2 linked regions of the Diceros bicornis minor genome follow. The protein of the gene in region 1 interacts with the protein of each later gene in a biochemical or structural test. Links are inferred from orthologs where the notes say so. Each region holds a gene or a part of one and is shown on either strand. Other genes may lie near its edges. The genes, in order: MC4R and POMC.

The links.
Region 2: the proteins of MC4R (region 1) and POMC form a complex in vitro, tested with the Homo sapiens proteins (2 studies listed by BioGRID). The link is inferred for Diceros bicornis minor from reciprocal best matches to the Homo sapiens genes MC4R and POMC.

The regions. Positions count from the first base shown.
Region 1 is NC_080755.1:51,340,022-51,346,183, reverse strand, and holds MC4R (melanocortin receptor 4), read left to right. Parts: upstream 1-4,618; coding exon 4,619-5,617; downstream 5,618-6,162.
Region 2 is NC_080751.1:57,386,856-57,393,818, forward strand, and holds the start of POMC (pro-opiomelanocortin), read left to right. Parts: upstream 1-3,944; coding exon 3,945-4,076; intron 4,077-6,127; coding exon 6,128-6,748; 3' UTR 6,749-6,963.

The sequences.
Region 1 (6,162 bases):
TTTGTGTTATGCTCAAAATGTTCCCTGATAAATCCTTCAAATTTGGAGCAAATCTGCATTTTCAAAACAAGCATTATAGCAGAACTGAGCGTAATAGCTACTTGAAAAATAAACGTAGGAGAAGGTAGGTTCTATATCCAAATAAGCTTACGAAATAAGTGGATTAAGCAATACTGAATTTTTTCTAGTAAGAAATTTCAGAAATTTTATATGCTAACGTAAACTCTGAAACTTCCAGAAGGCAATGAGTTTGCAATATTTTCCAAAATGATTTGACCTTGGAATCTCCCCTTTTATTCTATGGTGGAAAAAACATTAACATCTCCTAAAAATAGTATTCCATGTAAAACAGTTTGATAAATACTTCTCTTTAGTAATGTTTCATATTTATTGTTATAAAATATAAAACAAGGATTTTGCTCATAAGAGAAACATATTATGATCTTACTCAATTTTGTGTGTATTAAAAAAAGAAATCTGCAATAAATTTTTGAAAATACCATTAACGTGTCTAACATTGCTGGCTGTATTTCTTCTGGCTCACAGTGAACTAAATTACGGCAGACAATTAAAATGCTTCCTTGGACATGACAAAATGTCACCTTTTCAGTGTGATTAACCATACAATCAAGGTTTTATAAATCTACACCAAATAATTAAATTTGAGATTTTAAATATACATGGTTTTCTTGGATTTCAGTATGGTCATAATGTCTGTAAATAAAATTCTTTTTTTTGTGAAAAGCTAAAAGAAAGAGAGTTTTGTTTTCACTTTACTAATTCTATCTAATATATAATTATATATATATATTATATAATATACCTATTAATAAGTTTTACAAAACAAGGATGATTGTGCATTCACAAATATAGGGGAAGAGCATTCCAAGTAGAGGGAATAGTGTAAATTCATGGGAAAATCTCTAGTGTGCATGGGGTATTGCATGCAAGTTTGACTGCAATGAAGTTTCTGTGAAGGAGAATAACGAGAAGTGAGTTTGGTAAGGAGGAAAAGAGGAGCAAGACAAATGGTAGAATTGAAGGTATTTTACAAGTGATTGCATGTAGGGATTTTTGAGAAAGATGGATAAGTCAAAGATACTCTGAATTTTAGGTCTAAGCAAATGGAATGATTATGCCACAAGAGAAGTAGGGAGCAGCACAAAGTCAAGGGTTGACTCAGGAAGGTTATACAGAGTTGACTATCTGATGCTTAAACAATTCAATAGATTTCTTCCCTATTGTTTATTTATTAGGTAATTCACTTCTCATACAAATCCAAAATGGGGAAAAGAAAGGATTTGTATGTAATATGGGTTTGTGCTTGTAAATAGCTCCATAAAAAATTTGAAAGTCAAGGTAATTACGCTAGTTGCTGTGATAAGTGAATATCAATATTTCAGCAGCTTAACAGTAATATTTGTTGCTTGCTCATACCACAGTTCAACGTAGTTGGTGGGCTAGGGTGTGGTGGGAGTTGGGGATGTGAGTTCTGTTCTGTGCAGTTATTCAGAGACCCAGCCTTCTTCCATGATATGGCTCTGCCATCTATGACATGAGTCTTCAAAGACATTCTGCAGTCATCTACTAATAGGAGAGAAAATGTGTAGAATCATGAGGGAGATAACATAATGCACATCACTTCTACCCACATTCCATTAGTAGAATTCAGTCATAAGGCCTCATCTAATTCCAGGGATGGATAGAAGATGCTGATTTAGCTCAATGCTCAGGAATAATACTTAGCACTATCTCTGTCACAAAAGGGAAAGAAAATAAAAGCATTATCTCTGTCACAAAAGGGAAAGAAAATAAAACCCTTACCTAAATAATTGAGAACTTTAAGCCTGAAATACTTCTCTCTTATTGTCCCTATTATTAGTAGCCACAGCTAAAACCAAATTAGTAGTCAGCTAAAACCAAAAATAGTCATAGCAAGAAAAGGATACTACATACACTTTAAAACCAGGAGTTTAATTAATTTGAATAGTAACTTTGCCACAATCTTTCAAACTTAGCTTAAGCAAAACACTCAGAAACTGATAAATAACTAGCATCTACTTTTCTTGGCTTGAATAAGTAAAGTTGCCAAGATATGTGTGGATTTAATTTACAAAGCCTTCAATTATGGAGGTAGATTGGCTGCCTTAAAAAACAAAAACAAAACTGAGTTCCAATTTCTCCCCATCTTTGCCAACACTTGTTATCTTTTGTTTTTTTGATAATACTCATCCTAACAAGAGTGAGGTAATATCTCCCTGTGGCTTTGATCTGCATTTCCCTGATGATTAGTGACATTGAGCACCTTTTCATGTACCGGTGGCCATTTGTATGTCTTCTTTGGCGAAATGTCTATTCAAGTCCTTTTCCCATTTTTAAATCAGATTTGTTTTGTTTTGTTTGCTACTCAGTTGTAGGAGATTCTTACATATTTTCGATATTAACCTCTTATCAGATTGACGGTTTGCAAATATTTTCTCCCATTCTGTAGGTTGCCTTTTTACTCCGCTGATTATTTCCTTTGCTGTTCAGAAGCTTTTTAATTTGATGTAATCCAGCTTGTCTATTTTTGGTTTTGTTGCCTGATTTTGGTGTTAAATCCAAGAAATCATCACCAAGACCATTGTCAAGGAATTGTTGGCTGATGGGTATAAAGTTTCAGTTTTGCAGATGAATAAGTTCTAGAGATCTACTGTACAACATAGTTCCTATAATTAACAACCTGGTATTTGCACTTTAAAATATGTTAAGAGTATAACTCTTATGTTAAACGTTCTTACCACAAAATAAAAAGAAAAGAAAACACAAAAGAATATAAATAAATTTTTGAAGGTGATGAATATGTTTAGTACGTTGATTATGGTTGAGACAGGAATCAGCCTAATGAGACAGGGACATCTGCAAAGCCCCTGGCCTAATAAGACAGGGCCCCTAACTAATGAGCAAGCTAAGAGAATCAGATAGAGGCCACCAAGATCCACATTCTACAGCCTCCCGACTCTCCCTGGCTTACGCACGTGCCCTAGCACCCAAGAGTCCACTGAAGGTGACCCTAGCCCCATTACCATACTAAAAATCCCCCCAGGAGGAGAGCAAGCATGCTAATGATATATGCATCGCACATAATCGCATGCTACCAGACAGTGCCAGCGGAAGCACAACCCCACCTCTACATGCCATGACGGAAGACACATCCCCTCCGCCATCCTGATAAAAACCCAACACAGTGTGGCTCTTCGGGAAGCCAGCTGCCTCTCTCCCTCTCCTTTCTTGCCTTTTCGTGGTTGGCTCTCTTGTGCACAAGCTAATAAATTTTCTATCATCTCACTCTTGCTCTTTCTTGATTTCTATCCTGGGGGACAACAAGAACCCAGGATGCTGGCAACACGATGATGGCGTATGCACACGTCCAAACTCATTAAAATCTCTACATTAAATATGCACATTTTTTGTATATCAATTATATCTCAGTAAAGGTTAAAAAACTGAGTGTTTAATTATTGATCTTTTTCTTTCTGAGTTCAGAGTAAATATAGCTTACATTAATGCTGTCTGGTTTTTAAATATTGTGAATGAAAATAAAACTTTTCCAGCTATAATAACAGAAACCACAATGGAGAAATATCAGATATCAGTACCTAAGAAATGAACCCCTTCTTGAACCCTTTGGTAAATTGTAGCTACCTACATAGTTCTTCCATCCGTAGCATAGTCTACCTGTATTATCAAATATTCTCTCTGTGTTTCAGGTATTTTAAATTGAAGCATTACTGCCTGGATTCTTAATCAAAGAAACTGAGAGAGTAAATAAATTCAACATCCTAGCCGAAAAGGTAGTGTATCTGTTTCAGGGACACACACACACACACACACACACACACAGCTCTTTTAAGTAGGAATAAGCCTGGGTGCCTCAAGATGGCTCATTGTGATATCAAAGAATGTCCTCTATGGACCAAATTGTCTTCCTGGAAAACTTGAAAAGGCACAGTCAGTCTCTCTCATTCTGCTCGCTTCCCGATCCCCCAAGCTTCTGCATGTGAATCAGTGTTGCCCTGCAGTTTGTGTCTCTGGAACATCACCGTTGTCTCACAGACTTCCACGGCACTGGGATTGGTCGGAAGGAAGCAGAGGAGGAGCCACTCTGAGCATTTTTTTTCCCTCCACACACCATAAAATCGGCAGCAGCTACTAACACTCAAAGCAACGCTTCAGGTTGGGAACTAATACCTCTGAGCGGCAGCTGAAGGGAGCATGTGCACACAGATTCGTCTCCCATGGCACAGCAGCTCCTAGGAAAATTACTTTGAAAAGACCTGAATGCATAAGACTAAAGTTAAAGTAGAAGTGAGAACGAAAAAGCAAACAGCAGACTCTTTCGACTGAGAATGAGCATTTTGAAGCCTAAGATTTGAAAGTGGCGGTGATCAGAGCAATACCTGAAAGAGACTAAGAACTCCATTTCAAGCTTCTCAGCATGTGACATTTACTCACCACAGGCATGCCAATCTTAGCCTCATAACTTTCAGCCAGATAAAGACGTGGAGAAAATCACTGTGGCTACCTGACCCAGGAGGTTGAATCAATTCAGAGGGGATTTGAATCCATTTGGCGCAGGATGAACTCTACTCATCGCCATGGAATGCACACTTCTCTCCACTTCTGGAACCGCAGCACCTATGGACTGCACAGCAATGCCAGTGAGTCCCTTGGAAAAGGCTACTCTGACGGAGGGTGCTACGAGCAACTTTTTGTCTCTCCTGAGGTGTTTGTGACTCTGGGTGTCATCAGTTTGTTGGAGAATATTCTGGTGATTGTGGCAATAGCCAAGAACAAGAATCTGCATTCGCCCATGTACTTTTTCATCTGTAGCCTGGCTGTGGCTGATATGTTGGTGAGCGTTTCAAACGGATCAGAAACCATTGTCATCACCCTGTTAAACAGTACAGATACGGACGCACAGAGTTTCACAGTGAATATTGATAATGTCATTGACTCAGTGATCTGTAGCTCCTTGCTTGCATCAATTTGCAGCCTGCTTTCAATTGCAGTGGACAGGTATTTTACTATATTTTATGCTCTCCAGTACCATAACATTATGACTGTTAAGCGGGTTGGGATCATCATAAGTTGTATCTGGGCGGCTTGCACGGTTTCGGGCATTTTGTTCATCATTTACTCAGATAGCAGTGCTGTTATCATCTGCCTCATCACCATGTTCTTCACCATGCTGGCTCTCATGGCTTCTCTCTATGTCCACATGTTCCTCATGGCCAGACTTCACATTAAGAGGATCGCTGTCCTCCCAGGCACAGGCACTATCCGCCAAGGTGCCAACATGAAGGGGGCGATAACCTTGACCATATTGATTGGAGTCTTTGTGGTCTGCTGGGCCCCATTCTTCCTCCACTTAATATTCTACATCTCTTGTCCCCAGAATCCATACTGTGTGTGCTTCATGTCTCACTTTAACTTGTATCTCATACTGATCATGTGTAACTCCATCATTGATCCTCTGATATACGCACTCCGGAGCCAAGAACTCAGGAAAACCTTCAAAGAGATCATCTGTTGCTACCCTCTAGGAGGCCTTTGTGATTTGTCCAGCAGATACTAAATGGGGACAGAGGAGATGCTAAAAACATGCATAAGAGACTCTTTCATTCCTATACAACCTGAACAGTGTGCTTCAGCAAGTTTTTTCTTCTGTGTAGGGCACTGGTTGAAAACATCTATTGTATAAATTTAAGTTTATGATTTTTCATATGAAAAATGCCCAGTCTGTGTATTTTTAATGTCATGCTACGTTTTGGCTGTAAAATGTTAATCCATATTACAGGTTGTAGGCACTATGCATTTACAAAAAAGATAAAGGTCCTTATTAAAAGCTTAACAATGTCTCTTTCTTGTTATTCATAAAGATTTGACACTTTGCTTGTTTTAGGAACACGGAAATCACAGTCTCATTAAATATGTTCTAATAAATGGTTTCTTACATTACACTATACAACATTAAAGTAAAGGATTTGATTCTAGCATTTAAGGGGGAAATATTGAAGAATAGATGCTTAATCATTAAGAAAATAAGCTGAAATTTCAAGTAATTTAATAAAACTTGTTCATTCTCCCTATATAGAAGTAGAAATGAAGCTCCTATTGAGA
Region 2 (6,963 bases), on another chromosome or scaffold:
CTTCACCTTCTCTGCCCCCGGTTTCCCCAACCTGGAACAGGGGGATTGTGAGTCCCGGTTACTTCTTCACATCAGTTTCCAAAAGTTGGGGAAATCTGAGGCATCACAGACGTACTGCCTCTGCGGTGATATTTACCTCTAAATGCCAATGAGGCAGATGCCAGCCCAAGCGCGCACACAGGTAACTTCACCCTCTTCTCAACGACCTCAGCAGGCACGCCAGGCCTGCGCCACACTGGGGTGCTAAGCCTCCCGCTCGTCCTAACTGGAGACCCAACACCGTCCTTAATTAAGTTCTTTCCTGAAGGTGCCAGGTGCGCCCTTTAGCCGGACAGTGCTAATTCCAGCCTCCGGGGGCAGAGATCCAGCCTCCTTTCCAGGCACGTCTGCCCTTGCGCTCAACCCCTACCTGGAAACCCCCCTCACCATGGCCCCCCTTCCCATGGACGGGGGAGTTGCTTGTTACGCTGCCCTGCCGGGAAGTTCTCGTTTAGCGCCCCACACGGGCGAGCCCCGTAGGTATATAAAGACAGAAGAGAGCGACCAGGACCAGACGGCGGCGAAGGAGGAGAAAGAGCGGAAGAAAAGTGACCGAGAGAGGCCGCCGAGCATCCTTGCCCCGGCGCAGCGGGAGTCGCCCAGAGAGCAGCCTCCCCGCGGCAGGTAAGGGCGCCCCGGCGCGGAACCTAGCTCTCCCCCCGGGACCCCCTGCCCTGGGGCCTCGGGATGCTCTCGTCCAGCTCCCATAGCGGACTCGAGGCGCCGTTGCCTCGCTTCGGTCCTGAGCTCTTTGAAAACTTTCTGCACTGAGTGCGGCGTGGGAAGCCGCCCGCAGCGGAGCGGCGAGGGCCAGCCTCCGGCCGGTGAGCGAACGGCTGCCACGCTGGAGATGGTGCTTCCCGGAGCTGGCGGCCGCGCCTCCTCCGGGGAGTGGGGCTGCTAGAACCCCTGAGACTCCTACCGCCTTCTGGGGAGAGCCCGGTCTTTTGGCTCCTCTTCCTCTCTATTTCCTGGGGAGGTGTCACTTCTTAAAGGACACCATATAACTCTGGCGCAAATTAACGTTGGAAAGGGGGCAGGAGAGAAAAGGCTAAAAGTCACAATAAACTCCCTGCATTCCAGACTTTTTGGGATTCAGACCCCAGAATCCTCGTTTTTCTGCCCACCTTAGAGCACTCGACGTGGCTGCGCCACGGTAGCGACACGGGTCTCCCAGCTGGGGCAAAAAAGAGGACGCCCAGTCGGGAACTGTCCAAGGTCCTGAAACGCCATGTCGGTGCCCTCCATAGGACTGCAGAGTGCACTTCCCATCCCGCAGACCCTAGGCCGCAGGGCGGCAGCAGCCGTTTGAGCTGACAGAGGCTCAGGCAAGGGGGGGTCTCCAGGGAAGAAGGGAGAGTCTGCAGGGCATTTGGATCCCCCAAATTCTTCGGTATAAGTGGGAAGGTGGTTGTTCTCAAGGAATGGCTGGAAGGAGCCAAGGAAAGTAAAAGCGTGCATTTGTTTTGTCAACTGTGAAGATATGCACAGATTATGGCTTATTTAAGGAGTTAATATTCCTTTGACACTTTTGTTTTAGGACTTGATGCACGTGTATCATGGTGCAAGGACAAAACCCCGTGCCTCTGCTCCTCTAATCTTTACAGAAGGGCATGGCCAGTGAGCAATGTGAGAGTAACAAACAAAATGTTTTGTTTAGCTCATAGAGAATTCACCTACACATATGAAGTTCTAATAAATGTAGTTGTATTATAAAGTTAATGTCAAGATTAACAAATTACAAATTTCTATTTGTTTTTCTAAGGCTTTCAATTATTGGGTTGTAACACTCTCCTTACCCTCAAAAAGCACAGCTTTTGACATTTCCTGGTTACATTACTGCTTTAAAAAAAGGACACAAGGTAATATCTCTTCATTGTAGAAAAATAGAAAATACACAAAAGCAAAAAGAAAACAAGTTGCTTTCAGGAAACTATCTAACTTTTTAGCCAGAGAATGGAGCTCTGAGAGGGTGGGGAGTGAGAATGTTACCATGTTGTGCAACACAGCCAATGCAGCAGAAGAAGAGGAAATGCTCTCTGGGGCTTTTCAGAAAGCCCTGAACACATGAGGTAGGTTTTTAGAAAAAGATCATTCTGGAATGGCCAATCTTGAGGAGAATTTAAATATAGTTGAGAGAACTGTCAGACCTGTATGATTCTACTTCTTTCTCTACTAATATGTTCTTTTACACTTGCCCACAGTGATATATAACTACCATTTTTCTGCTTCTCTTGTAAATCTGGGCATTTTTCTGTGCTGTGTGGTCTCAGAGCTTTAATGTAAATTGCCTTGTCCACCAAGTTCAGGCTTCATACTTGAACTGGAGCATCAAAAGGCTACAACAGGAGCAGCCTGTCCCCCATCATGACTGGACATTACGATTTGACCAGTGCTCTCTCAGTTGCCCCTTCAGCCTGAGATACTGATGGGCCAGCTCACTGGCTGCCAGTGCCATCTAATGGCTGCTCTGAAAATAGGCAGTGCCTGGCAACCATTCAGAAGGGAGCCCTGAGCTGGCTCAGCTTTTGGGGAAAGGAGTGGGGGTGTGGCAGAGAGAAGGAAGTGGCTTCCTGAAGTAGACAATGAGAACCAAGGAGAGCTTTCACTTCTAAAGCCTTCCCTATAAAAAAGATTTGGCCCATGCCTCCACAAATGCGAGATTTCTTTAAGTAAACATTTTAAAATGCAAATGTCCACTAGGAGAGACAATTAGTCACCTACATCTTAATGTAAATTACTTTTATCATCTAATTAGGTTTCTTCCTAACAGCTGGTTGAGAAGATCTTCTAAAATCCAAAATGATTGTGGGGTTGGTGGCGAGCTCATGACAGAACTCAGGGTCACTTCAGGGGGCTGACCTGGGTGAGGGGGGACATGGCAGCATGAGAGCTAGAGGGCTGGGGAAAGGGTTGGGCACAGGGGGCAAAGGGCAGCATTGGCTCCACTCTTTACCGCATCTTGACCTCTTGGCCTCAGCATCTGCCCAGAGGTACTTCCTGACTTCTCCACAAGGGGAAGTAGTTCCCTTCTGCTCTGTCTGTCCATCTCCTTCCCTTCTACACCTACAGCATCTTCAAGTCCAGCTATTTAGGACTACATTTGAGAGACTCAGAGAACAAGAGGTCTGACATGTAATATGTTCAGAAGATGAGCCAGTTTTAAAAGAATGGGGGTGTGCTTTACAAGTAAATCTCTCCAAAGATGCCGGGGTGTGGGAGATAGTGATCATTTGTGGGGTTTGTGTACAGGACATCAAATTGGGTTGGCTGTGGTTTTGGCTAAGTTGGCCAGAGGTTTTATTTGTGCTTATGCAAACCTACTATTCATAGGAAATAAGAGTTTCTGAGGAATGATAGGATCCTGGTGGAGGCGGAGGGAAAAGACCATCGAGCAGGAGCTTCAGAATCCTTTGTCTTTCCCAAGTTACTCCTTGGTTCTGGAGTGTTAGAACTATAGCTTCATGTAGGTGGTGAAATAGGAAAGCTCCGTGCTAGTAAAAGGAGAAATTAGCCTCACCTTGTCATGAACACCCAAGTTATTGTCTCTCTCTGGGCCTCAGTTTCCCCATCTCTTAAACAACGGGCTGGACCAAATGACCCCCAAAATAGCTTCCAGCCCTATCTCCTTTCAGATCTGATTTTTAACAGGAGATAAAGGGGAAATTCCACATAGTTCACCCAGGTCCCACTCCCCTCCGCTCTACCACAACTCACACCACCACTCTGCACACCAACCTTCTCCTTGAACTGCTCCTGTCCTCAAAAAGCCTTGAGCTCCACAAATGAGTGTGTTGTTAATGTTGGCTCACAGTCCTTCCTGGTGAGTGACCAACATTGTTCTGCTCCTTGCAGGGGTCCCACCAATCTTGTTTGCCTCCGCAGAGCCTCAGCCTGCCTGCAAGATGCCGAGACAACGCGGCAGCCGCTCGGGGGCTCTGATGCTGGCCCTGCTGCTTCAGGCCTCCGTGGAAGTGCGTGGCTGGTGCCTGGAGACCAGCCAGTGTCAGGACCTCACCACGGAAAGTAACCTGCTGGTATGTGGGCCATGGCTGCCATCTTGTTTGGGCATCAGGTGGGACTGGGGCTGGGGTTGGGACAGCACAAAAGAAAGGGGTTTGGATTCATTCCCAGAGATACTCAACCCAGGGCAGGAACAGATCTCTAGGGTGAAGTCAGAATTGGGTCAAGGAGGGGAGGAAGCAGCTTCAGGAAGCAGGACCAGATGGGTCTGGTCCACAATTTTGGCTTGATTATCTTTGCTTCCTGCCCTGTCTCCTTGTATGGGGACACTACTCCATTTAAGCTATTTAGAGATAGTGCCATAAAAATAATAATAACAATACTAATAACAGTAATAACAATAATTGCTCCCTCAATTGATCCTACATTTTCAATCTTTTAGCCTCCAAATTATTCGTTTTTAAATAACCTCATATCACTTGCCATCTGCATTCCACTTTTCTTCCCTTTTTATCTACTACCAGTTACAACCCCAGCGAGGTAGTACCACAAATCATCTCTAAAGGGAGAAGGAAAAACCCAGGTGCCATTTTCCTCTAACTGGTGCCCAATGGCTCATGCTTCTTCTGGAGGACTGACCTCCTGCAGCCTTTCCAGAAGCATGTAAAGGCCCGTTGTGCCAGGTTGGAACTCCCGCGAGGTTACCACAGGGTGTGTGTGTGTGTGTGTGTATTGGGAGGCATAAATGAGAAATGATACCAAGCAAGGACTAAAAGACACACTGCTGGTGTTGGTGAGCGCGTTCCACCCTGCTGCCAGCACCTGCGTAGTGAAGATGGAACGCACATCACTACCTTCTGTGTTTTGTCAATGGAGAAGCTGAGTTAAGGTGAAGAGAGACTTTCTCAAAAACACAGAGCAGTTTGCATGTGGAATACAAAATAGAAACAATGATCTCAGGGAATTCTGTGAGTTCTAGTTCAGAGAGATGCAAGAGGCTCTTGACTGGAGACACCCACTGCACAACGTCTCCTGAGAGCTCACCAGGGAAAGAGCACAGCCATCATCAGAGCCCATGGGTTCTAGTCTCAGTCCTGTGAGCTACGGAACCTTGCCAAGGTCCTTTCACCTCTCTGAGCTCTCCTGTGTCCAGGGGAGAGGAGTATGAAATACTTCTTATTTTCCACTGTTAATATTCTGCAGTGTTAGAATTCTAAGTTCCCAGAGTATGAAATTCCCAACTCAAGAGTGGGTGGGATGCTTCTGTTTCCTCCTTTGCAGTCTTGAGTAATTGAAAACTCAAGGCTGCAGCGTATAGGTCATTTTCCTAAGCAAATGTTTACCACAGCTGAGTTGTCTAGTTACAGAGAGCAGAGACACGCACTCCATGACCCGTGCAATGGAAATAATCCTGGCTTTCTATCCCTCCCTCCAGTCAGAATGAGATGACAGGGAAGCGAAACCCCCTCCCAAAGCTCACTGATTGGGGAAAGTACAGGATCAGCTCAGAAGTCTTGAAAGAACCAGAGAAAGTGCCAGATGGACATGGGAAAGTTTTGAAGCATGGTACAAGGAGATAGCTGGGGTAGGGCATGGGGTAGGTTTGCAGATCGCTGGGGTAGGGTTGAGGCATTATTGAAAATACAGGCCCTAGAAGCCAGACTTGTACTTCTCCCACCTGGGGAGATTCTACCCCAAATTTCAGCCCAATGTCCTTCCCAGACTCAAACTGAACCAAATATATTTATTCAATATTCATTAAGTCCCAACGACTAACACCCACCCGCCATTTATTAATTCCTATATATCAGACGTATAACGGGAAGACGGTGACCCTGCTCGCAAAAGCTATGGGACAAGTAAACCAAGGAGTGGCATGGGGTTTTTGCTGCAGCTGCCAGGCAGAAGTGTCAAGGGGTACAGGGACAAAGCAGGCGATGCCCAAGCTGAGTCTCAGGTGTCCGTGGGGGCCAAGAGGACGAGGAGGGCAGGCGTCCCCGGGAGCGAGGGCCGCACGTGGTGACGGTCGCGGGGCACTGGAGGCGCGGAGGGCGCAGGCGCAGCGCGGAGGGCGTGCTGGGGGGGCTGCCGGCGCGCGGCCCTCACTCGCCCGGCTCTCCCGCAGGCGTGCATCCGGGCCTGCAGGCCCGACCCCTCGGCCGAGACGCCCGTGTTCCCCGGCAACGGCGACGAGCAGCCGCCGACCGAGAACCCCCGGAAGTACGTCATGGGCCACTTCCGCTGGGACCGCTTCGGCCGCCGGAACAGCAGCGGCGGCGGCGGCGCGGGCCAGAAGCGCGAGGAGGAGGCGGTGGTGCTGGTGGGCCGCCCCGCGCCCCGCGGCGATGGCGGCGAGCCGGGCCCGCGCGAGGGCAAGCGCTCCTACTCCATGGAGCACTTCCGCTGGGGCAAGCCGGTGGGCAAGAAGCGGCGCCCGGTGAAGGTGTACCCCAACGGCGCCGAGGACGAGTCGGCCGAGGCCTTCCCCTTGGAGTTCAAGCGGGAGCTGGCCGGGGAGCGGCCCGAGCCCGCGGCGGCCCCGGCCGGCCTGGAGTACAGCCTGGTGGCGGAGGCCGAGGCGGCCGAGAAGAAGGACGAGGGGCCCTATAAGATGGAGCACTTCCGCTGGGGCAGCCCGCCCAAGGACAAGCGCTACGGCGGCTTCATGAGCTCCGAGAAGAGCCAGACGCCCCTGGTGACGCTGTTCAAAAACGCCATCAAGAACGCCCACAAGAAGGGCCAGTGAGGGCGCAGCGGGCGAGGGGCTTCTCTCCCCAGGGAGTCGGCCCTACGCCCCGCTCCTCGCCTGCCTCCTGCCGCCTCGCAGCCTGGGTGTGCTGTTTGCTCGGGCCGTGATAGCGGCAGATGCTCGGCCTCTTCCCGCCGTGTGTAGTTAGGAAATAAAACCCTTCCAGTTTCACATCTGACTCTGACTTTGAATGTCGACTGGGTGAATAAAGT